Drosophila melanogaster: one gene and its partners. The protein of the gene in region 3 interacts with the protein of the main gene of each other region in a pairwise test. Each region holds a gene or a part of one and is shown on either strand. Other genes may lie near its edges.

Region 1 (8,005 bases), on a different chromosome or scaffold from region 3:
CTTTTTGGTCAAGTAGTTCAGGTCATAGTCGCGCGGCACTCGTCCGGTGGCGAAAATGGGGTCGCTCTCCATCATGTCGATGTACATTTGGTACTGCTCCGATGAGGTGCGTTTCTTGCGGCGGTCCATCTTGCCGTTCATCCGGGTATCCTTGCTCTGTGCCTGCGTGCTCGATGCCGTGTTTAAATAGCTGGCAAAAGCCCTAAAATGCAAATCGACGCCACCAAGCGATGCGAGATGTTCACAAACAATTTACGCATTTAGCGTTTGGGATTTTCTAGTTGCATTTTGTTGCTGTTGGCGCAGGGTTGCATTCGGCACGCCAGTGGTGCGCATCTGGCGGGAAGCCAAAAAAGCAATTAGATGCCATGCGATAGTTATGGCTAGATGTGCAATAAATAATTCAATTTTGTTGCAATAAAAACATGCGGATTCAGAAATGATTTGTCACAATATTTATTAGCGGTTTCATATAAATCAATAATACATTTCAAAATATATGTGCAAAAAGTATTTCGTCGAACGATATGCATAACAACAGTCTTAAAAACGACTAATTGGTATATGGTACACACTACTCAAGAATTTGTTTTCAACGAATGCCTACTGTACTACTTATTGAGCGTTCCGCGGCTTTTAATTCGAGGCGAAATCAGCAGGTCCCTCTGAGCTCACATATTATATTACATTATACATTATATCAATGTGCATGGCTAGCATGGGCTATAATTCCGGAACGTACTCGAATCCGGGATTATTGTACTTGAAGCGGGCTATCTTAAAGTGCAGCGATGCCTCGTGTATGTCCGAAATGCGTTTCAGCTGCTCCTGGATTTTCTCTCCATAGAAGGCAGACGGTTCTTTCGCGGCAGATTGATCAGATGTGACATCCGCGACTGAAATCAAGGCTATGTCCCTTTATAGGATATTTAGTATTTACATTAGATTTGCGTCTACCCACCTTCGTAGATAATCTCACTGGAACCATCGAGCCTTAGCTTTTTCGCGGCACTGTGACCATTGATGATCGTTGGGTTGGCTTGCTCGTGAGGCTCTGCTATGAACTGCTGGTACTGCACCTCCTCCTCCTCCTCCTCATCCACCAACTCCTCCAGGTTCTCATTCTCTTCTTCATCCAGTTCCTCTTGCTCCTCCATCAGTTCGTGCAGGCGCATCGAAATTCCCTCGCGAAAATTCGGTTCTAAGGAGAAGATCTGCAGGGCTCTGTTCTCCAGAGGAGTCATTGCATTGCTCTTGTCATCCGAGTTGATGCTGCGTCGGTATTTGGAGCGCGTGCTGTTCTTCCAGTCGTTGAGGCGCTATAAGCATGACACACTGTGGGCTTGTACACTCGATACCCAACTGGTTACAACATACCTTTCGCCATTCCTCGGGCGACAAAGTGGGACCCGTGGAGCACTTGTTTAGCAGATCGCTGAGCTCCTTCCACTTCTTGCCGTCCTGGGTGCGACTCAGTTTGTTGGCCGACATCGGGGGATTCTCCTCCATGAAGTCTAGGTATACTTCGTATTGGTAGTACGACGTCCGCTTGTTGCGTCGATTCATTTTGGGGATCCAAATTATGACCAACAATTGAAAACAAACAAATTGAAACAGACGCCACAAAAAGGCAATAAAGCAACGAGCTATCGATAACACAAACAATTAAGGCTCCGAAATTAAATACCAAAACCGAAATACCAAACTATTTTAGAAAATATCAAAATAATTGTTTGGTTCTCCTAGGTTCGAAAAGAAGTTTCTTGGAATTTGTAATTTACCCGCGCCACAATCTCACAAGATTGTGTAATACATCTAAAAATATTTATTTTTCTCAAAATATCACATTTCAATTTATAAAATAAATTGGTCTAGTTCTTTAAGCATTTTTTGTGTATTTCGTAATTTTTGTAACAAAGCTAGTCCTGCTTTTTCAATCAAGTTCAATCAGAGGGTAGAACAGCTAGTAGAACCGCTGACTCAACATATTTTCCAAACCTTTTTTATTTAAAATTTGTATTCTGAAGTAATTCAAAAGTATATCAATCTCCGTGGTCTGCAGCATTTAACTGTACGCGACGAACGGTATCACCGTAGTGGTCAAAAAAATCAAGTTTCCTGCATTTTCAGGTGTAAAATTAACTGAGATATAGTGCGATTTCTGGCCCGAAAATTGTGCTATTTTACAGAACAGGCCACTGACCACCACATAGACCGCAAGAGAATACGGATAATGCGTCCCCTAGCCCGGAAAAGGCCGCTGGAAAACGAGGATTGAGAACCGAATTGCGAACCAGATGATAGAGTAGCGTGCCAGCCAGCGAGTGCGAGCGAGAGAGGGCGAGAGGAGCAGAGTGAGAGAGAGAGGAGGACAGAGTAGACACAAAACTTCAGGCCCGAGTTCTCGCCCATCTTACGGCCGATTTTACAGCCCATATAGCCGCTATATAGTCGCCAGAATGGCGGAGGAGAATCCCGGAGCTCTTGCCGCCAACGTGCCCTATTTGGGAGTGGATGAGTTGGGCGCATCGGTGATTGTGGAGCCTGGTTTGGAAGGATCCAATGCCGGAGGCCGGACGCTACCGGCTGCGGCCATTAAGTTTGCTGATCTCACCGAGAGCGGCAGTGAGTCGGGAGACAACGAGGCCGAGGAACCTGTATCCGCTGGCCCGGATAATGCCAACGCCATCGGTGAGCCGGGCACCAGTGCATCCGCCGCGGAGGAGAACGGAACAGTAGAGCGCAACTCGCCGCCGCCCAATTGCGCCATCTGCTTGTCCCGCTGCAGGAGGAAGTGCTTCACGGACTCGTGCATGCACCAGTTCTGCTTCAAGTGCCTGTGCGAGTGGAGCAAGGTAACCAGTCCGCAGGCGAGTAAACCATTATTTTAACCATCTAATTATTCTCGATTGCAGATAAAGCCCGAGTGTCCACTGTGTAAGCAGCCCTTCAGAACCATCATACACAATGTCCGCACCCTGGACGACTACGATCGCTACCCGGTGCAGACTACGTCGCCGGTTCCAACAGAAAATCCCTCCCTACGTTACCACATTGTGAGGCGTCCCAGGTACACGCCGCTGGTGCAGAACCAGGCCGTCATTGTCAACGACATCGAGGCGGCCATAGCGGCAGGAGCTGCTGGTGAAGATGTGCTTTCGGCGGCAGAAGTAGCAGCTGGCAGGCGATCGTACAGCCGCTTTGAGCCGTATCGCTCGGAGCTGATGAATTACTACCAGCACGATCAGGATGCATCCACGTCGGGTTCATTGAGCCAGCTCTGGCGACGTTATGTGTACGATAGAAAGCTGTATGCTCTGCCCGTCAGCGACAGCGTGACTGGACACTTTCGAGAGTGGAGCGCCCGTTTTTACAGGTCTGTTCGTATACCTAAAACCGCATACTTAACCATACTGATTTCGATTTCAAATCCTTGCTTATAGAAACAATCCTGCTCAGATTCATCGCCTGATGCCTTGGATCCATCGCGACATCATGTGCCTACTGAGGAATGCCGCACATAGCGTAAATACTGTGATGACTCTGATGAGCGACCTCCTGCCCATGACTAGCTTACTAGGTCCTACATTCCGTCGACGGCTGTCGCCGTATCTCGGCGAGCGCACCAGTCACTTTATCCACGAACTGTTTAACTTTGCCCGCTCCCCGTATGACATAAACGGTTACGATCATGTGGTGCAGTATTCGGCACGAGTGGCTGAGGAGGTGGAGGTGGATCTGTTGGACATGGTGGAGACACAATCCTCGAACGGTGATGATCTGAATTTGGAGGTCGGAGATAGCGATGCGGATGCTATAAACGCTGGCTTCTCTCCGGATTGGAGCCCCCCTAGGGTACGCCCGTCGACCAGTGTGATTGTGACCAATCCTGGTGCCACACATTCCTTCAGCGTGACAATGGCCAGTGATGGCAGTGAGCTGCCGGGGATTTCCATACGCCGTACAACCAATGTGGGCTCACAAACGGTTGCCATTAACCTGAGCATGAGGCGCCCAGCGGCGGTTGCCAGCGAGGAACCAGAGGTCATCGAGATCGACGACGGCGATGCGGCCGCAAATGCAGAGGTGGCGGCCATCAATGATGGCAGCAACACCAGTAGGAGACACGCAGGTGCTACTCTTCCAGTGACGGCGCACATCGAACTGGAGAGCAGCAGCAGTTCCGGCGATGAGGATGAGTGCGTCTTTGTGCTGGAGCTGAAGCCACCACACATGCGCACTCCCGAACAGGTGAGCCTTGACTCAAATAGTGACTCCGATGTGGTGTTCGTAAATGAGCAGCACGAAGCTGCGCCGGACGCAATTGCCGAAAACCGGTCGACACAATCCCCTTTGGATCTGGCCTCCAGGGATCAGGGCCTGTTTATGGGGCCCAGCACAAGTGGCGCAGCGGCCAACAGAGGCAAGAACTGGAAGCTGGTCATGGCGCAGACACGGCGCCTCGATCAGTTGCGCACGCTGCGCTCTATACGTTCGAAGAAATCACGCCGTTCATCCATGCCTGCCCGCAGTGACAGTGGCAGCAGCCCCAGCAGCTGCAGCAGCTCCTCCTTTCACTTCAGCAGCAGCAGCGATGAGGATAGCAGTGACAGTAGTACCACCAACTCCGAGCCACCCAAGAAAAAGTCACGCAAGCGAGTGGCGAATAATAAGCGCTCTAAAAAGGAGTCAATCGGGAAAAGGACATCTCGTAAACGGAAGGCCAAAGACCAGAATATGGAAATGCTTGAGCAGCAGCAGATAAGCCAAAAGAAGCCCCAGCGCCAACCGGAAAGCAGCAGTGACAGTCCAAGTTCGTCCGATGACGAGTCAGGTGGCGATAGCAGCGAGTCATCCGGTAAGTGGTTTGTGAATCTAGACGGTTCTTATCAGCATGTATGAATGTATGTATAACACCACACATTCTGAACAGGAAAACACTAGAATGATCTCTAAAAACAATCAAAAAACTATTTATTATCCTATCAGATCAAACTTGTATAATTACACAAATTTGTTTTCTAGGTCAACCCAACACGAACAACAACAAATCCAGCAGCGATTCCGATGATGATAGCGCTGTAAACATGCAGCTCAGTGCCTTGCGCGCCACACTAAAAGCGGAGGCAACTCTGGAGGATAGGAAACCTGTAAAACTGGAGCTTCAGTTGCCGGATGACGACCAGGCGGGGCCCCTCCACTCACGGATGACTCCATCGCCGAGAGAGGATAACGAACCGGGTTGCAGTGCACCGAAACGGCGACGCAGTTGCAGCCACAGCAATCAGTCCAGCCAGAGTGCCAGTTTGGCCAGCAGTTCGACAGCCACCTCGAGCTCGGCTCCATTAAGTTCGTTTGCCTGGGGAGCAGCGGGCTTTTCCGGCGATCCGCTGATGCGCGGACATCCGGCGATGGAAGAGCACGACATAGCCAACTCCCTAATCGAACTGTCCACTCTAACGCAGCCTGTGAACATCGGACTCTTCAACGAGCATTATAATTCGGCAGAGAATTCCATGGGCATGCTGAGCAACACGTTGTGCGACAGCCCACAAACTTTGGCGGCGGATGACGCCAATCTAGAGAACTATTTCGATACAGATGCGGATCCGGAGGCCAGCCGTGAACGGGATGCCTATTCGCTGGAGGCCGCAATCGATGTAGTTGGCGAATCAGAGTTGCAAATCGCCGAGGATACAGCCACTGCCACCGAAGAACAAGATGAGGAGGACGAAGAGGATGAAGATCAAGAGGAAGACGACCAGGAAGAGGAAAAAGCTGCGGAGGAAGAAGAGGAAGAGGAGGAGGACGACGATGATAGCGACAACCACGATGAAAACGATGAGAATCAGGGACTACTGCCGTATTAAGCATAAGCCACTGATTTAGATTTTCATTTAAGTTGCTAGTGTAAGGGAATGTTTAACTGGTTTCCGTCTTGTCTTGTTCCGATTCCTGAAATCCCCAAACCCCATAAAATAATATTTGTAATTGTAACTCATGTATTGTAGGCCTAAGATTGCCATTTTAAGTTGTACATACATATATAAACACCCATCCCAACATTATTTAAATGTTCTGTCATACATACATATACCACCCCCCCCCTTCCACATCAAAAGACGCATTCAATATCCCCCTGAAGAACATCGATTGTAAATGTATTCACGTAGGTTAGCGGCATCTATAACTAACTAACTATAAACAATGGCAACTAACTTTACTATCGTAGCTTTTAAATCGTAGAATTAGCGCTGATCAATGTATGAGGAGGGTGTTAATGTTTTTTGCATAAGTGGGCGTGGCCAGTTATGAATTTTAGTGTACTCAACATACAATGAACAAAAGATATCTGTAATACGAATCAAATACATAATAAATGTAAAGATTAAATTAAAGATAAATAAGTGTCATTTCATATTTCGTAAAGTTCTAAAAGTAATTCTCATTGGATCAAGGATGCCCCCCGGCATAGGCACCTTGCGCATTTTTTTTTTTGTTAAATTTATGCATATTTTGTTTCAATTCAATGTTTCCAGTGATTTCAGAGTATATTCGATTTCCGATGTCCCGATTTGTCACGATTTGCAGGTTAATTTATGGCATTGTCTAAACAGTCCCTTACTTTCCACACTTGACATTAGGCATCGTGTAGATGCGCCCCAAATAAAAACGTGCCACAGAGCCGTTGTGCCTGCGCAATAAGCAAAACTTTTTCGCTGAGTTTCAATTGGAATTGTTTAAAGAACGAGCTAATTGTTTAATTCCTATAAGGTAAATACTGTATCATATTGCACAGCTGGAAAAGTTCCATTTCGCGAGCGACAGTGAGCAGTGAAATCAGTATTAAATCGAATTTGTGATTGACAATTCCAGGAATTTTCGTTCACGTGTAAAGTTTCTGTTTCTGTTTTTTCTTCGAACAATTTCGACATTGTCGACACGTGGAGTGCAGCAACAATGATGCCACGGCACATGGTCCAATGGCGCATATATGTCTACGCCAATTCGCTATATTCTCTGCCGGATCGTGAAACGGGCGACTTTCGCGGCTGGTCCCCCGAATATTTCCGGTGAGTGAAAATTTCCTCCTCCAATACAAATAAGGGAAATTTCAGCCATGTTCTCATTTCTGCATTTCCTTGTAGTCTCAATCCCTTCGAGGTTCATAGGGTAATGATGTGGGTGAACCGCGATGTATCGGTGCTGATCAGGACCAGGAAGGCGGATATTTTCTATCTGTACGAGACCATCAAGAATCTGCTTCCACGTCTTAAGCTGGACAGCGAGGAGTTCCGAAAGCCCATGATCCACTTTTTTGGCGCCAATACGGACCTTTTCATCCACGAACTGATCAACTTTGCCCGTTCCCCGTACGACACTCTAATGGCCTATGAGTGCAGCACACAGTACCGGGCCTTGTTGGATTTTGATAATGGTCCTACTACGTCGGCGAAGTCCAGGGATCGCGAGTTTTTGTCGACGAGACTGCACAGCTTTGTAGAATTTACGCGCCGCATCAACTACGACGATTGCGGTGGCTTTGAGGCGGATCTGGAGCTGGAGGATGAGGATTTCGGCGAGCTCGACGATATGATGATGGAGCGCTATGGTGGTGCTCCGTTCTTGATGAAGATGGACGGACAGCTGGTGACAGCCCGAATCATACCGAGCTCACAAGCTAATGCACCTAACCAGGGTCAGGTGAATCAACAAACTCAATCCCAGGCCCAGGCTCAGGCCCAGGCACAGGCTCAGGTCCAGGCACAGGCTCAGGCCCAGGCCCAGACTCAGGCTCAGACTCAGGCCCAGGCTCTGGCTCAGGCCCAGGCTCAGGCCCAGGTCCAGGCACAGCCACAGGCTCAGGTCCAGCAGGCAGCAGCTCAGCCTGCCCAGCTGCTCCTCCCTCAGCTAACGCAGGCGGTGATCCAGACTCAGCAACGAGCGGTTCACCAACCCCAGCAGTCGGGACAGCAATCAGGACCTCAGCATGCCTCATCGACCG
Region 2 (5,812 bases), 7.1 Mb from region 3:
AGCGCAACCGTAAGTGAGTCGTAGCCCGTAATCGGCAATCAGTAGTCCGTAACCCGTAAGCCGTAAAGCGCCGTTCCGATGCGCACTCGACCGTGTCTGCAATTTGTCAGCTCGATTTTGGTACTGAACGCGTACTCCTTTCACCCCAGACCGCCTCATGCCACTGTGTTTTTGGATGTGTGTGAGCGAACTGAGCATACGGGCAAAATGGCCGCCCCGGAGCCAATCACAGCACAGCATCGGAATGCGAGTGCGGCATCTCGCTCTTCTGCGCTAGAGATGTGCGAGGCTGTCATATGCTTAGGAGATTTATAAAATATGTATCCAAATATAAAAAACTAATTTATGTATTACATTTGTAAATTTAATCTAATAGCTTAAGAATATATATGGTATTGACAATATATTTTAAGTTCTGTCCATCACTAATTCCAAACATGTATGCTTGTATGCATGTATGAAAGTATCTTTGCACAATCGCACACATTGTACCTGACTATCAGATTCAATAACCGACTCCTCCAGCTGCTCCCCGTTGTTATTAGTTGTTTGTTCGCAGCCACTTTATGCTGATTTTGTTTCGCTACTTGAGCTTAAGTATCCGTATTTATTATCGTAAAGTCCTTAAGTTTTATAGTCCCCATGTATTTACGTTTGTCCGCGCGTCTTGTGTATTAAACGGTTGTCAAGTGGCGCTCAAGTGCAGATTTTCGCACACTTGATTTTAAGAGTGTACTAAGCTAACAAATAAATAAATCGTGGGGAATATGTTTGGTTTAAACGTTACGCTCTCATATATTATTGTTTATTTCACTTGAAACTGTTATGATTTAATAGAGATGAATAACATGGATATGTGAAGTTGTCTAAATAGAGCAACATTTTTAATAATATTTCGCCTTTATGGGATGAATACCTTCATTTCGAATCTTGGCATTGCACCAAAAACGTGTTCACATATGTATATAATTGCATATGTAGTGCATATGTACATACAGTACACAGATATACATATTATGTACATACATATTTTGTTTGGTATGTTTAAGAACTTTTAGCGAATATTTGCCTTTCTTATAATCCTATTAAGTCACTTTTTTTTTAAAAATATAGTGCCCTTGTGCATTCAGAGTGTAGGGTTTACGTAGTGACGATGCGCTCCATAAGAGTTTGTCAGAGTTATAATGAATTCCGCTAGAAAATAATCCTCCATTCGTAAAAAATCGAAGGCCCAGTTTAAAAAATAGGAGAATTTAAAAAAGTTAAAATTTTTCTGTTTATCTTATGAATTTTATTCTAGTTGTGCTAGTTTGACTGCTAGTCTTTAAACTCGTTAATTTGTATTTTGTTTTATTTCATTTAAAATAAATTAAACATTAAGCTAGACAACAAAACTGTTGTGAAATAAGAAATTTCGTCATAACATAAATACATCGTATACTTAGGCCGATATTTTCTTAGTCCTACAACCTTTTTTAACACACCCGCAAACTAAAATCCTACAGCATATGTAAACTAAAGTATGTAAAAGTTTTCAAAAAGTTATGAACTTAATTATGTGATTTTCGTACTAACATTTAAAAAAAAAATATCAAAGCACATCAACTATCAATATTCATAAAAGTATTTCGATATAAATATTTTAAGCTATCGATATATTGTCACTTTTTGTTTTGCCATCGCCAGCAATCTCGTCGCCTGGTAACACTTCTAATTTTCACGTCAAAGAACTCGGACGCGTTCTGCGTGTCGGCCGCGCTAGCAAAAAACTCTGGCTTTAGTTAGTTATTTTATTGGAAAAATATTTAGTCAAGAGGTGAGTAATGGCGCCCCAAGTGAATATACACAGTAGGTTGCGGTCATTAAGCGAGATAAATGTAATTTACACACACGCACACACAGACAGACGCGTGAAAATTTCCCAGTTTTTTTTGGCTGCAGTGCATTCTATTTTGTGTGTGCCTTTGCCATTTTTCAGCACTCGCTGCATTGAGTTTTAAACGCGCATTGCACTTTTTCGCCTGCAGCCAACAAACGCATAGATACAGAAAAGTATTGATTTTCGTCCAAGATGGCGGACGACGAGCAATTCAGCTTGTGCTGGAACAACTTCAACACGAATTTGTCGGCCGGCTTCCACGAGTCGCTATGCCGCGGCGACCTGGTGGACGTCTCGCTGGCCGCCGAGGGCCAAATAGTGAAGGCCCACCGATTGGTGTTATCCGTCTGCTCGCCCTTCTTCCGCAAGATGTTCACTCAGATGCCGTCGAACACCCACGCTATCGGTGAGTTTGTGCCCCTCAGCTCAGATCTGTAGCTCTACGTGATTTTTTACCTTATACTCTCTTCGCCTATCTTGCAGTATTCCTGAACAACGTCAGCCACTCGGCGCTGAAGGACCTCATCCAATTCATGTACTGCGGCGAGGTCAACGTGAAGCAGGACGCCCTGCCCGCGTTTATTAGCACCGCGGAATCGCTGCAAATCAAGGGGCTAACGGATGTGAGTATATGTATACATTTGTGTGCGTGATATACTGGTATATCGAATCGAGCAACTACAACGCAACCTTTCGCGCCCAATACATACAGACGCGATGGCTGGCGTCTGTATAAGAGCATGGTTTGACTGTACCGAGAAATTTCTCGCAAACCAAATGCCAAAAGGCACGCGTGCCAGAGAGAGACAACTGCAGGGGCTATACGCGAAGCGTTTGTCTCGCTCTGGCTCGCACGGCAGCGGCAAATTGGAGTGGTTGTTTTTGTCTCGCAGCGAATTCGATGCCAAAGCATAAACATTTTTTGCTTTTAAACTAATGTTTAAATTGGGAAATATCTCTTAATGTTTTCGACTAAAATTAACGTATTTGCAAAATTAAATTTAGTGCAGCTGTACCTAAAGAAACAGGCATCGGAACTAGAAAATGTATTATTGTTTCCCAATTCAAGGAAGGCGTACTTTACTAATTAATGGCCAGATTTCTTATTTCTTTGCAAATTCCATTCTAACGGAATAATTCTTTTCAACATATAGTTTTGAAATCGTCCATTTTATTAAATGCAGATACTTTTAAAGTTTATTAAGTTTTGATCGTGGTTCATTTTTAAAGAGGTGCTAGAACATACAAAATATCTTTTCACTTATTCCTAAAATATATGTTAATAATTAAAAAACCAATATTTTTTTTTCAGAACGATCCTGCGCCTCAGCCGCCGCAGGAATCCAGCCCGCCGCCAGCAGCACCTCATGTACAACAACAGCAAATACCGGCTCAGCGGGTGCAGCGCCAGCAGCCTCGCGCCTCCGCCCGCTACAAGATCGAGACCGTGGACGACGGCCTGGGCGACGAGAAACAGAGCACCACCCAGATCGTCATCCAGACCACGGCCGCACCCCAAGCCACCATTGTACAACAGCAGCAACCGCAGCAGGCGGCGCAGCAGATCCAATCGCAGCAGCTGCAGACGGGAACCACGACGACGGCGACGCTGGTGTCGACAAACAAACGCTCTGCCCAGCGCTCCTCCCTGACCCCCGCCTCCTCGAGCGCCGGCGTAAAGCGCTCCAAGACAAGCACCTCCGCAAATGTTATGGACCCTCTCGACTCGACCACTGAAACTGGAGCCACGACAACCGCCCAACTTGTGCCGCAACAGATCACCGTGCAAACCTCTGTGGTCTCTGCGGCAGAAGCAAAGCTCCACCAGCAATCGCCGCAGCAGGTTCGACAGGAGGAAGCCGAGTACATTGATCTCCCCATGGAATTGCCCACGAAATCTGAACCTGACTACTCTGAGGACCATGGCGACGCCGCCGGCGATGCCGAGGGCACCTATGTGGAGGACGATACTTACGGAGACATGCGCTACGACGACAGCTACTTCACTGAAAACGAGGATGCTGGCAACCAGACTGCGGCAAATACGAGCGGTGGCGGAGTGACGGCGACCACTTCCAAGGCTGTGGTCAAGCAACAGTCCCAGAACTACAGTGAATCATCGTTTGTCGACACCAGCGGGGATCAGGGCAACACAGAGGCTCAAGGTTGGTTGAATTGCAAAGCATACATGGCCAGAGGCCAATAGATATAAGCAATATTTAAAGGACATTAAGTCCGCTTGCGAAATGCAAACACGTTAAAAAAAAGATCACATATGTATTCCAAACTTGAACACTTTCCAAATCTATTAGCGTCGCAAGCGGATCATGTCCTTTTAGAGTTCGGCAAAGTGCGTTTAATTTTGTTTTGAACAAACTTAAGCTATACTTCGCTGGCCATTAGTTAATAAGTAGTTTACGGGCCTGTGTTCTATTTCGAATCGACAAAGAGCACTAGGCAGATCTGCTGTCCGATGCATATTTGTTAAATGCTGGACGGAGATCGCGCGGTTTTACACTTATTCAGTTAAAAGGTAAGTAGAGTGATGAAATTTTAAGAAGCTGCTACGATGGATATCTGATGTCAACGTGAAGCCGAACCCGTGAAGAGCTGCAACTACTCAAGGTAATACCGGCACTCTTAAAACCACACCTATCCATATATTTTTCCAAAATTTGCAGGCATTTGTAATTGTTTATTTGACTGAGCAAAGCGAGTAATTGGAGTTTTCAATCTTACATGATCAGGGGGTTATTATTTGGGCATGCGCATTTCTGTTTAATAATGATCCTCTGGTGATGCTAAGGCTACTGAGGTTTGTTGTTATTTATGTTTTCAAACTCGTACTTAAAGATGTTGTCTGGATTTGTTTAAGCAACGTAAAAGCTTGCTGATGCAAATCCAGCAACGGCATTGATTGCCGAGTCTTAAAAAAAAAATTGTATTTATAACGCTGTGTTATAGTAAAGGTTCATTTCTAATCGTTTTAGTGGTCACGTAAAAAAAAAAGGAAAGATTTTAATAATACGTATAGGGAGACTCTTTTAACGTTATCAGTGGAGAGGAAATTTATTTCTTCATGCAGCGTCGATTCTGTTTTACTTTTTGCGTGCTGATTTTGTTTTTTCATTCCAAATTTTTTGTATGGAACATTTTGCGTGTTTTTTTTATATGGTTCCGAATTAAAGGGTGTCTGAAGAATTTCACGATATTTACGGATGTCGCGGTAACCTTAAACAAAAAAAACAGAATATACTAGACCTCTTACCTAATTGGTAAGAGATAATCATAAACCGTTTTAATTCATATAGGCGATAGTTTATATACCTTGGAACAAAAGGTTGGACCGCCTTGAAGCATTTCCGACTTATATTTCCTTTATTTGTAGTAGTAATTTTCGTTTTTTTATTGTTAAGCGTATTTGAGAAAATTTATATTAACGTTTGAATCGTGTAATTTATATTTTGCGCGCCTGGTCCGGATATTTAGAAAGTATCCACAGAATATATTATATATATATTTGTAGTATGAAAAAATAAAGAATTAAAATTTGAATTAATGCGGAGTTGCCATTTTGTGGAAATTGAGGACGGTGTTGCCACTTCCGGAAACCCTAATTGAATGTGCAGCCCTGGTGCTTCGGCTGTGTGGCAACGCCGTGCAAATTCATTAAAAAAATGCAAGCCAATTTGTTTTGTTATTTTATTGCATCCGAATTACACGGCCTATTTGTTCACAATTAATTATTTCCAGCTTGTGACGGTGTGTTTGGTGTGGTGTTTATTTAATATTTAAAGTGATGGGGCTGGTAAGGGGGGCAACGCCTCCCTATTTCCACCCTTTTGATAATCTGTGATAGTGCTTATTTGAAAACCAAGCGATGCAAATGCTACCGTAAGTTGTAAAATGCCATCCCGCCGCATTTTGGTAAGT
Region 3 (8,664 bases):
GAAGATCTCCTCTGGCGCACAGAACCGGAATTCCGCGCAGCTCTATGCAAATGACATATTCGGATGGCGTTTATTCTAAAAATTGGGAATATAAGCTATTATCTATGGCTCAAACAAAGTGCCATTGACAATGGCTCTATGAGCCCACGAAAGTCACTCAGCGCACAACGATGTAAGGAACAGGTTTGGAGCGATTGCGATTACGATTACTAGGTATCCACTAGGCTGAGGTCTTTGGAAGCGGCTCCAAATTAATCACCCGGCAATAGCGATAGAATGGGGGAATTTTTGTTAGCACCATCAGAAGACAGAAGGCGAAGGAGAAACTTATGAGCGAATCGATTAAAGAAGGTAATTAGATGTTCGGATAACCGCTAATTTCCGACGACATCCATCAAAAGACACGGATTCCTTCAGAAAAAAATGTGCACTCAAAGAAAATGTGTATATATAGCTATTCCATTTCAATTTAAAGAAAGTTCTCTAAGATATTTACAATCTTATGCTTGAGTAAAGTATCTCAATGTCTTTCTAGTCCCATTATCACTTGATAATACTATTATTTTTCGAGTGTACCTAACCCATTCGAGGGGCAGGGGAAATTTAAAATGCAGAGGAGTCGAGATGTGAAAAGAATTCGAATTTAATTTAAGCACAAACCTGAAATATAAGCAATGCTAATGCCAAACCCATAACCGAAATCAAAACGGCGTATACTTAATGAACGACTCGTGTTATGTGTATGATATATGTGTATGTTTGTCGCCTGGCTTACCCATGGGAGCTCGTTTCCCGGAGACATCTGCCGCCAGGATCTGTGCCTCCAGTTCCGCCTTGCACACCGTGTAGTTGAAGCCAGTGGCTCCGATGACAAGGTCAGCGAGATCCGGCGTCGCGCCCTGTGTGGTGTTCTCGAAATCAAAGTCATCGCACTCGATGCCCAGCTCCGATTTGTCCAGCATTGTGTCGCAGACGATCTTGTTGTAGCCGAGATTCACGCGACACGCCTTGTCCAGTGGGAAATTCTGCATGGCCACCGCATTGAACACGGAGGCCATGAAGTAGAAAAAGAAGAAGGGCTCGATGACCAGATAGTGGCGATAGCGCCACAGTTTCTGGAAATAGTTGAGCTTGGGCTCTGCATCCACTGCTCCACTGCCATTTCCAGCCGCATCTGCCGATGACCTTGGCTTTGCCATTTTTTTATAGCACTTGCTGAATTCCTCAAAACTCTTATTTTTTATACGATTCTATTCGATTCGATACGTCTCTGGCTCGGCAGGTTGCTCTAGCAGCACATTTTAAGCGATTTGATCAACACGTCGCGCCAGGTTCTAAGCTCAGACTAAACTAAGCGACGATTCCGGGGATCGGGCCAAGCCAAGCCAGGTCTACTACTCAAATACTCAAATGGGCAGTCGTTTGATACGCACAAGAAACTTGTTCAATCATTTCTTCGTCGCTTTCGGTTCTTATTTTTTTTATTTATTTTGTTTGTTGTCAGCTTCGATTAGAGCAGAACAATGATAAATATGAAGAATTGTCACCGGGCCGTGAACTGTGGAATTCGCACATGCCTCGGGGAGATTCGTTGCTCGCTCAGTTTTACATTCATAGATTGTCAGTCATAGTACACATTCATTTATAAATAAATAATGAAGACATTTGAATACAAGCGGGCTGACTTGATTAAGTTTATAACTATGAAATCTGGTTTTGCAGTTTATGTTGCCTAAATATGCAGCTTAACCTGCTAAATTTTATCATAAACCCGGAACACTTTCGTTGTTTTCTCAACTGCACTTGAACATTTGATCATTGAAATTAAGTAGTTTTGCCAAAACATATAGTAAGATGATACAGCAGTTTTCTCGCAATGAACTTATATATTTATTTTTAAGACTGAGCTATTTAAACATTTATACAAACCAAATCGAAGTTCTTGCAAGTGATTCAAAGTCATGCGGATCACATGCATTTTTTTTCAGTGCGAATGTTATTACATTAGGCGACAACCGAGAATGGAGCTGCACGTGGGATGTTTTTGCGGCATAGCCATGGGGGAATTCCAATTGTACGATTGCAAAGTGCCTTCGATTACTTAGGGCTACAATTAGAGGCAGATGGGTCGTCAGTTTCTACTCCGTCCAACGGTGGGTGCAGTTCTGGTTGGTGCACACGTAGTACAGTCGCATCTCCTCTTCGGCGCGACGAGTTTGCGCCTGGAAGAAGACCGCCTCCCGATGGGAGCACTTGGGACAAGCGTGGTCTTCGGTGCGCGGCAGCGTGGGATCGGAAATCACGTCGGGCACAATGTGGGTCAGCTCGTCGATCTCGTGCATAATCTTGTTCACGTAGATGCAGTTGGAGTCCGCCTCCTGTTTGTAATCGCAATTCCGGCAGGCGTACAGCAGGATCTTGTTCTCCTTGTCCTCCTTGGGGTACAGCATGTTGTTGCACTCCTGGCAGAACCGAATGCCCACGAATCCCGGCCCCTCAGTGTGTGCGGCATCAAAGGCAGTCGTCATGGCTATTGGCTTACAATTATTGCTAGTTAATTGCAATTTGTGAGTTAATGCGGCTTTTATTTACCTTTTTATCGTTGCAATTGGCGAAAGTGTGACCGTGGCAAGGCGGCTTAAATATACCGAGATCATGGGATAGGTATACCTCATTAACATACTAGCCTTTAACCCTTGTGAGCACTGCTATTTTAATTATATGCTTATATATTTTGTTTTTTATTTTATCAAAATGCATATTAAAGAATGCATTTATTTGTATTTTATTCAATTACTTTTTGTATAAAATGTTAAACCTGATAATTATCTTACCGAGCAACGGCTGCGGTGGCCTTCGACTGAAATTATATATAAATAGTGAAATGTTCCATATAAGCTTTATTGTTCGGATCATTAATCTATGCTTACAAAGTTAACCAATAAAAAGTTAATATAATATTAAGCCAGACACCGGCTATTTATTTTAAATTTATGTTGGAATTATTACAAATTTACAACCCAGAAGATTCAAAACAGAGGAAATTTCTTTGTACTTTTCATGGCGGCATGTTCAGATTATTTTTTCACGGGTTGTTGTAATTAATGGTATTTTCCAACCTACATGCAACGGTCACACTGAATTTTCATACACAAACGCTTGTCGTGTTGGAATTTAAAGCATAAAATTAGGTAAATTGTGATTTATTATCGGAAATGCGGTCAAAACCCTTTAAGGAACGCATCCCGTGATATGAGGACATGTTTGTGAAGCAAATACCTTAGCCAGTGACTTGATAATTTCACGCTCTTTATCGGCGATGGCAGTCACTTTCTTTCGCTGCGGAGCAGAAAAGTGCACTTCTAATCAGCAAAATAAGTGGTTAAAACCGATCCTCCACGTCCTTCGCCGGCACAAAATCACATTAAATATTTGAAAAGTATGCTACGGATTTGCGAGTGTATTAGAATTATTTGCTACCCCTTTGAAATACAATTTTATTTCAGAAGAAAACTTGTTGCGTTTTCTGTGCGTCAGGCGCAGGTAGTGTTGTCTCGCTCACACCAAGGCCGATCGATCGTAAAGATCGAACAGCGCGACGCCATTTTTTCTTAGCAGCTTTTGGGCGTGTGTTGGTGACGCTGGCAAAATGTGATGTTCAGTAAATCACGTGCCTAAAAGTAGACTAAAGCGGTCACTGGTTATCCTGATCCTGAATTATCATCCAATCGATCTTAATTGCAGGCTGGTATCACCAACATGAGTGCCTCCAAGGAGGGCAAGGAAAAGAAGGGCAAGCTGCTGGGTGTGGAAAACATTTCGCCGCCTAAGGACAAACGTCCCGCCACCAGGATGAAGCTCTTGAATGACGTGGGAGCTGGTGAGGATTCGGAGGCAAGCACTACTACTACCACATCAAGAACTCCCTCCAACAAGCAGGAGAAGCGTGGCAGTGTCGCTGGATCGCGCATCAAAATACTCAATGAAGAAATACTGGGCACTCCGAAAACTGAGAAACGGGGCGCCACAAAGAGCACAGCTCCGGCTGCTTCCACTGTGAAGATTCTGAACGAGAAAAAGACACCCAGTGCTACCGTGACAGCCGTGGAAACTACCAAGATCAAGACGTCTCCCAGTAAAAGAAAGAAAATGGAGCACTATGTACTTCAGGCTGTGAAATCAGAAAATACCAAGGCGGACACCACGGTTACCGTGGTCACCGAAGAAGATGACACCATTGATTTCATTCTAGCGGATGATGAGGAAGTAGTTCCGGGCAGAATAGAAAATAACAACGGCCAGGAGATCGTTGTCACCGAGGACGATGAGGATCTAGGGGAGGATGGTGATGAGGACGGTGAAGACTCCTCAGGCAAGGGCAACTCTAGCCAGACAAAGATCAAGGAGATCGTGGAGCATGTGTGTGGCAAATGCTACAAGACCTTCCGTCGCGTTCAGAGTCTGAAAAAGCATCTAGAGTTCTGTCGCTATGACAGTGGGTATCATTTGCGCAAAGCCGACATGCTTAAGAACCTGGAGAAGATCGAGAAGGATGCCGTGGTGATGGAGAAGAAGGACATATGCTTCTGCTGCAGCGAAAGTTACGACACCTTCCATGTAAGTCATAAAGATTGATACCAAGAGAAGTAAGCATAACTTTCGCATACCACATTTTCCTTTCAGCTGGGTCACATTAACTGTCCCGACTGCCCCAAGTCGTTTAAGACACAGACCAGTTACGAACGCCACATTTTCATCACTCACTCCGAGTTCAGCGATTTTCCTTGCTCCATTTGCAATGCCAACTTGCGCAGCGAGGCCTTGTTGGCGCTCCACGAGGAACAGCACAAGTCACGTGGCAAGCCGTATGCATGCAAGATCTGCGGCAAGGACTTCACCCGCTCGTACCACTTGAAGCGCCACCAGAAGTACTCATCGTGCTCATCGAACGAGACCGATACCATGAGCTGCAAGGTGTGCGATCGTGTCTTCTATCGGCTGGACAACCTGCGATCGCATTTGAAGCAGCATTTGGGTACACAGGTGGTTAAAAAGCCGGAGTACATGTGCCACACGTGCAAGAATTGTTTCTACAGCCTGTCCACGCTGAAGTAGGTTTTCTAATTGATTTTAAAAGACATAAAGTAATGTTCGGTATATTTTCGCAGCATTCACATACGCACTCATACGGGGGAGAAACCATTTGACTGCGATCTTTGCGACAAGAAGTTTTCTGCATTGGTGGCCCTTAAAAAGCATCGACGCTATCACACTGGCGAGAAACCATACAGTTGCACTGTGGTTAGTCTTAAAACTTCCGTAACTTTTCATTTAACCTATTGTAACAATGCGGTATTCTATTACCTTTTAGTGCAACCAAGCATTTGCCGTAAAGGAAGTGCTCAATCGTCACATGAAACGGCACACTGGAGAGCGTCCGCACAAGTGTGATGAATGTGGCAAGAGTTTTATCCAGGCCACCCAGCTGCGCACCCATTCCAAAACCCATATTCGCCCCTTTCCCTGTGAGCAATGCGACGAAAAATTCAAAACAGAGAAACAGTAAGATATTAAAAAACCTTTTATCTTTTCTGTTAGCCCTACTTACTTATTGCAATTTTGTTTCGCAGACTTGAGCGCCATGTGAAGACCCATTCTCGCACAAAACGCCCCGTCTTTTCCTGCGCCGAGTGCAAGCGTAATTTCCGCACTCCAGCATTGCTCAAGGAGCATATGGACGAGGGAAAACACAGCCGTAAGTTGGAATCGACAATTGGCAATAATCAAGGCTTTAATCCCGCTCCTACCCTTTGTAGCGAAACAACAACGGTCATCAATGCGATCGGCCGTCAAAATTATGGAACGCACGGATTGCGCCATTTGCGATAAGAACTTTGACAGCAGCGATACCCTGCGACGGCACATACGCACCGTTCACGAATGCGATCCGGATGACATTTTTGGCGTTGAGCCGCATCCATCAAAGCGGGCAAAGAAGGACATCGAATCGGAGGAGGTTGTACCAGTGGCGTTAAACACATCGGCGGGCTCGTTAATTTCTAGCCAAACGGACGGGAATGGCGTTGTGGTGCGTGAATTCCTCGTGGACGAAGGCGATGGCGCGGCCCAGACCATTACACTAGAAAACGAAACATACACAATTCTGCCCCTGGACGGGGCCATCGAGGGAGAGCAGCTGACGGATGAGGCTGGCGTTAAGCCCGAGGCGAAGAAGGAGGAGGCGCAGGTCTCGCCGGTGGTAAAGAAAGAGCAGCGTAAATCCCTGGCCGCCAGTCTGGCCGCTGCCATCGCAGATAATTTGGAAGAATCATGTAGCGAGGATGACTTCAGTGGCGAAATTCTAACTGAGGAGGACATAAAGCTCAAAGAGAATGTGGGTAAACTTATTGATATGCTAGTGGATCCACCGATCCTAAAGAAATACGGCTGGCCCAATGCCCCCGAGGAGACGGTGCTCTGCAAAGTGATCGAGAACTGTGGCCACGACCTAACCAAAGGTGGCGAAAACTACGCTGAGCTTGACTACGGTAGCCGCATGCGAGAGTACTGCAAACTGCTCTTTACCGTGGTCATTCACAACGATTCCATCAAGTCGCTGCTCAATAATTTCCCCATCGACGATGTGATCGAATATGTACTGGGAGATGAGGATCAGGACGAAGGTGGATTGGACAAAGACAATGAGTCACATTCAGGTGATGAAGAAGCGGTGTCGGTCACAGGCGAAACTAAAACAAATGAAATCAGAGAGAAACCGGAAAAGAAGGAAGTTTCGGCGAAATCTGAAAAGAAGGAGATCGTGGGGAAAGCTGTGGATAAGGATAACTCAGAGGAGGTGGTCCGGGAAAATAAGAAAAAACCTGTAGGCGAACAAGAGAAAGCTTGATTTTCCAGCCCTTGATGCATGCGTACAATTACCGCACAAAAACCATATTCTAGGAATTGATCGTTGATGATTTTTACAACATTTGTATTTTTAAGATCGTTGGTTTTGGTACAAACACCAAGTGACCTTAAAAGAGAAACTTACCGTCTGTTGCTTGAATATTCAGACATCTTGCGCATTGACAAATTACCCAAAAACAAACAAACCAACATATTACATATCAAAGATATTTTGATATTATTATATAGATTTTATATATTTTTGAATTGAATGATGTTACCAAGCAATATATGCATGGCTATTTTTATAGTACTCTTATTAATTATAAAATATACAAATTCAATATTTTCGATAAAACTCTCTTGAATTTTTAACAATGCTTATTAATCCTCAATGCTTACTGTTCCATCATCAACTTCAGAATACGTGCGTTGTTTTGCAAGATCTTGTGGCGACTCTCGTCGATTAGCTCCCGGTACTCCGCAATGCTGGCTTGGATTTGCTGCAACTGATGCTGCAGGGGCTCCGTGGCAGATGCCGTGAGAGTCTGCTCCCTTTTTAGTTCCGTGGATGCCTGCGTGTAGGTGTCGCGCCACATCGTAAGCTCCAGCTGCATTGCATCAAAATCCTCGGGTATGCAGTCCAGTAGTTTACCCAGCGGACCTATCGACTTGGTGAGCTTTTGGACTACGTCGCGTACGTCGTTCACCTGGCGCGCAGAAGTTTGTCGGCCTGCCTGTGCTGGAGGCGGTTCCACTTCGGCGCCTTGATTGACCAGTTCCTTTTGCGTTTCCAAGATCTGCTGCACCAATCGTCCCTGGGCATCGAGCTGTCCTTCCAATGCCGGTTCGTCACCGCCACCTTCGACAATATCATGGGCGGCGGAATCTTCTATGATCACCAGGTTCTCTCCGTCGTCGTCCAAGTCGCCAAAGGTTTCAAGCTTTACATTTATGCCCGACATTTTGATCTGATCGTTTGGCTGGAGCACGATCTCCACATTGCGACGTCGTGGAGCTCCGGGACGTGCGGAGGCGGGTCGAGCGGATGGAGGTCTAAGTGAGGTTCTGGGCCGTTGATTCACTTCCTTAGAGTTCTCTCTGGTGAGGGGAACCTCCCGCTTCGCTTCGCCGCTGTTGGTCTCCGGTGGAGAGCTGGTTTCTGACGACTGCACCGCTGGCTGGGATTGGCTCTCATTGGGAATGGGATTAGGTTCCGGTTGCCTGTGGCTGCCACTAGAACGGCGACTTCTGCTAGAGGATTTGCGACTCTCAGGCTCAGCTGGTGGAGCAGTTGGAGTTTCCTGGACAGGTCTCACCACTGCCTCCTTCTCTTTTAATGGAGGAACCTGTTTGGGTATACGCATAACTTATGGATTTCTAATTTTAAAGCAAATTAACTTATTTTTCTTACCATTTCCGGCTCTGGTTTGCTTGGAGCACTTTCGCTTGCAGCAGGCTTGGTTGATCCTTCTTCCACTGGCGACATAGACTGGCTAAGATTATCGCTCTCTGTTGAAGGCTGCAGTTTGGCTTTGGACTTCTGCTTAACTGGTGACGGACTCTTTTGCTTCGAGTTTTGTCGACTTAACTTCGTCTCATCCTTGGGTGCCTTGGACTTCTTCTGGGATGCTTTATCCTTCTCGGTGGGGGGAGTAGAACGGGACACCTGTTCTTTGACCTTGCGCAGCTTCTGCTCTTGAGGCGATATACGTTTCTCCTTGCGTCGCTTTGCATCCTCATCCTTGCCGGCGGGTG

Evidence for each region. The genes of interacting proteins can lie anywhere in the genome.
Region 1: the proteins of su(Hw) (region 3) and Topors interact in a two-hybrid assay, tested with the Drosophila melanogaster proteins (one study listed by BioGRID).
Region 2: the proteins of su(Hw) (region 3) and mod(mdg4) interact in a two-hybrid assay, tested with the Drosophila melanogaster proteins (8 studies listed by BioGRID).

The regions. Positions count from the first base shown.
Region 1 is NT_033778.4:18,970,868-18,978,872, forward strand, and holds Topors (topoisomerase I-interacting protein), read left to right. Parts: upstream 1-1,744; 5' UTR 1,745-2,071; exon of another isoform or gene 2,072-2,130; 5' UTR 2,131-2,459; coding exon 2,460-2,855; intron 2,856-2,915; coding exon 2,916-3,376; intron 3,377-3,443; coding exon 3,444-4,858; intron 4,859-5,025; coding exon 5,026-5,870; 3' UTR 5,871-6,395; downstream 6,396-8,005. Other genes in the region: prod (proliferation disrupter), read right to left, coding at 1-141; CG15107 (uncharacterized protein), read right to left, coding at 724-908, 962-1,319, 1,378-1,566; CG18605 (uncharacterized protein), read left to right, coding at 6,961-7,073, 7,149-8,005. UniProt on the Drosophila melanogaster protein: Functions as a ubiquitin-protein E3 ligase. Negatively regulates the transcriptional repressor hairy/hry by promoting its ubiquitination and subsequent degradation. Also directs the nuclear organization of the gypsy chromatin insulator.
Region 2 is NT_033777.3:21,373,292-21,379,103, reverse strand, and holds the start of mod(mdg4) (modifier of mdg4), read left to right. Parts: upstream 1-1,702; 5' UTR 1,703-1,816; intron 1,817-2,027; 5' UTR 2,028-2,071; coding exon 2,072-2,285; intron 2,286-2,362; coding exon 2,363-2,502; intron 2,503-3,191; coding exon 3,192-4,044; intron 4,045-5,528; exon of another isoform or gene 5,529-5,812. UniProt on the Drosophila melanogaster protein: Component of the gypsy chromatin insulator complex which is required for the function of the gypsy chromatin insulator and other endogenous chromatin insulators.
Region 3 is NT_033777.3:14,303,051-14,311,714, reverse strand, and holds su(Hw) (suppressor of hairy wing), read left to right. Parts: upstream 1-3,125; 5' UTR 3,126-3,439; intron 3,440-3,506; exon of another isoform or gene 3,507-3,680; intron 3,681-3,744; 5' UTR 3,745-3,759; coding exon 3,760-4,617; intron 4,618-4,683; coding exon 4,684-5,111; intron 5,112-5,168; coding exon 5,169-5,301; intron 5,302-5,371; coding exon 5,372-5,562; intron 5,563-5,630; coding exon 5,631-5,755; intron 5,756-5,816; coding exon 5,817-6,907; 3' UTR 6,908-7,260; downstream 7,261-8,664. Other genes in the region: CG31321 (uncharacterized protein), read right to left, coding at 776-1,199; Polr2I (RNA polymerase II subunit I), read right to left, coding at 2,139-2,528; IFT54 (intraflagellar transport 54), read right to left, coding at 7,305-8,255, 8,321-8,664. UniProt on the Drosophila melanogaster protein: Component of the gypsy chromatin insulator complex which is required for the function of the gypsy chromatin insulator and other endogenous chromatin insulators.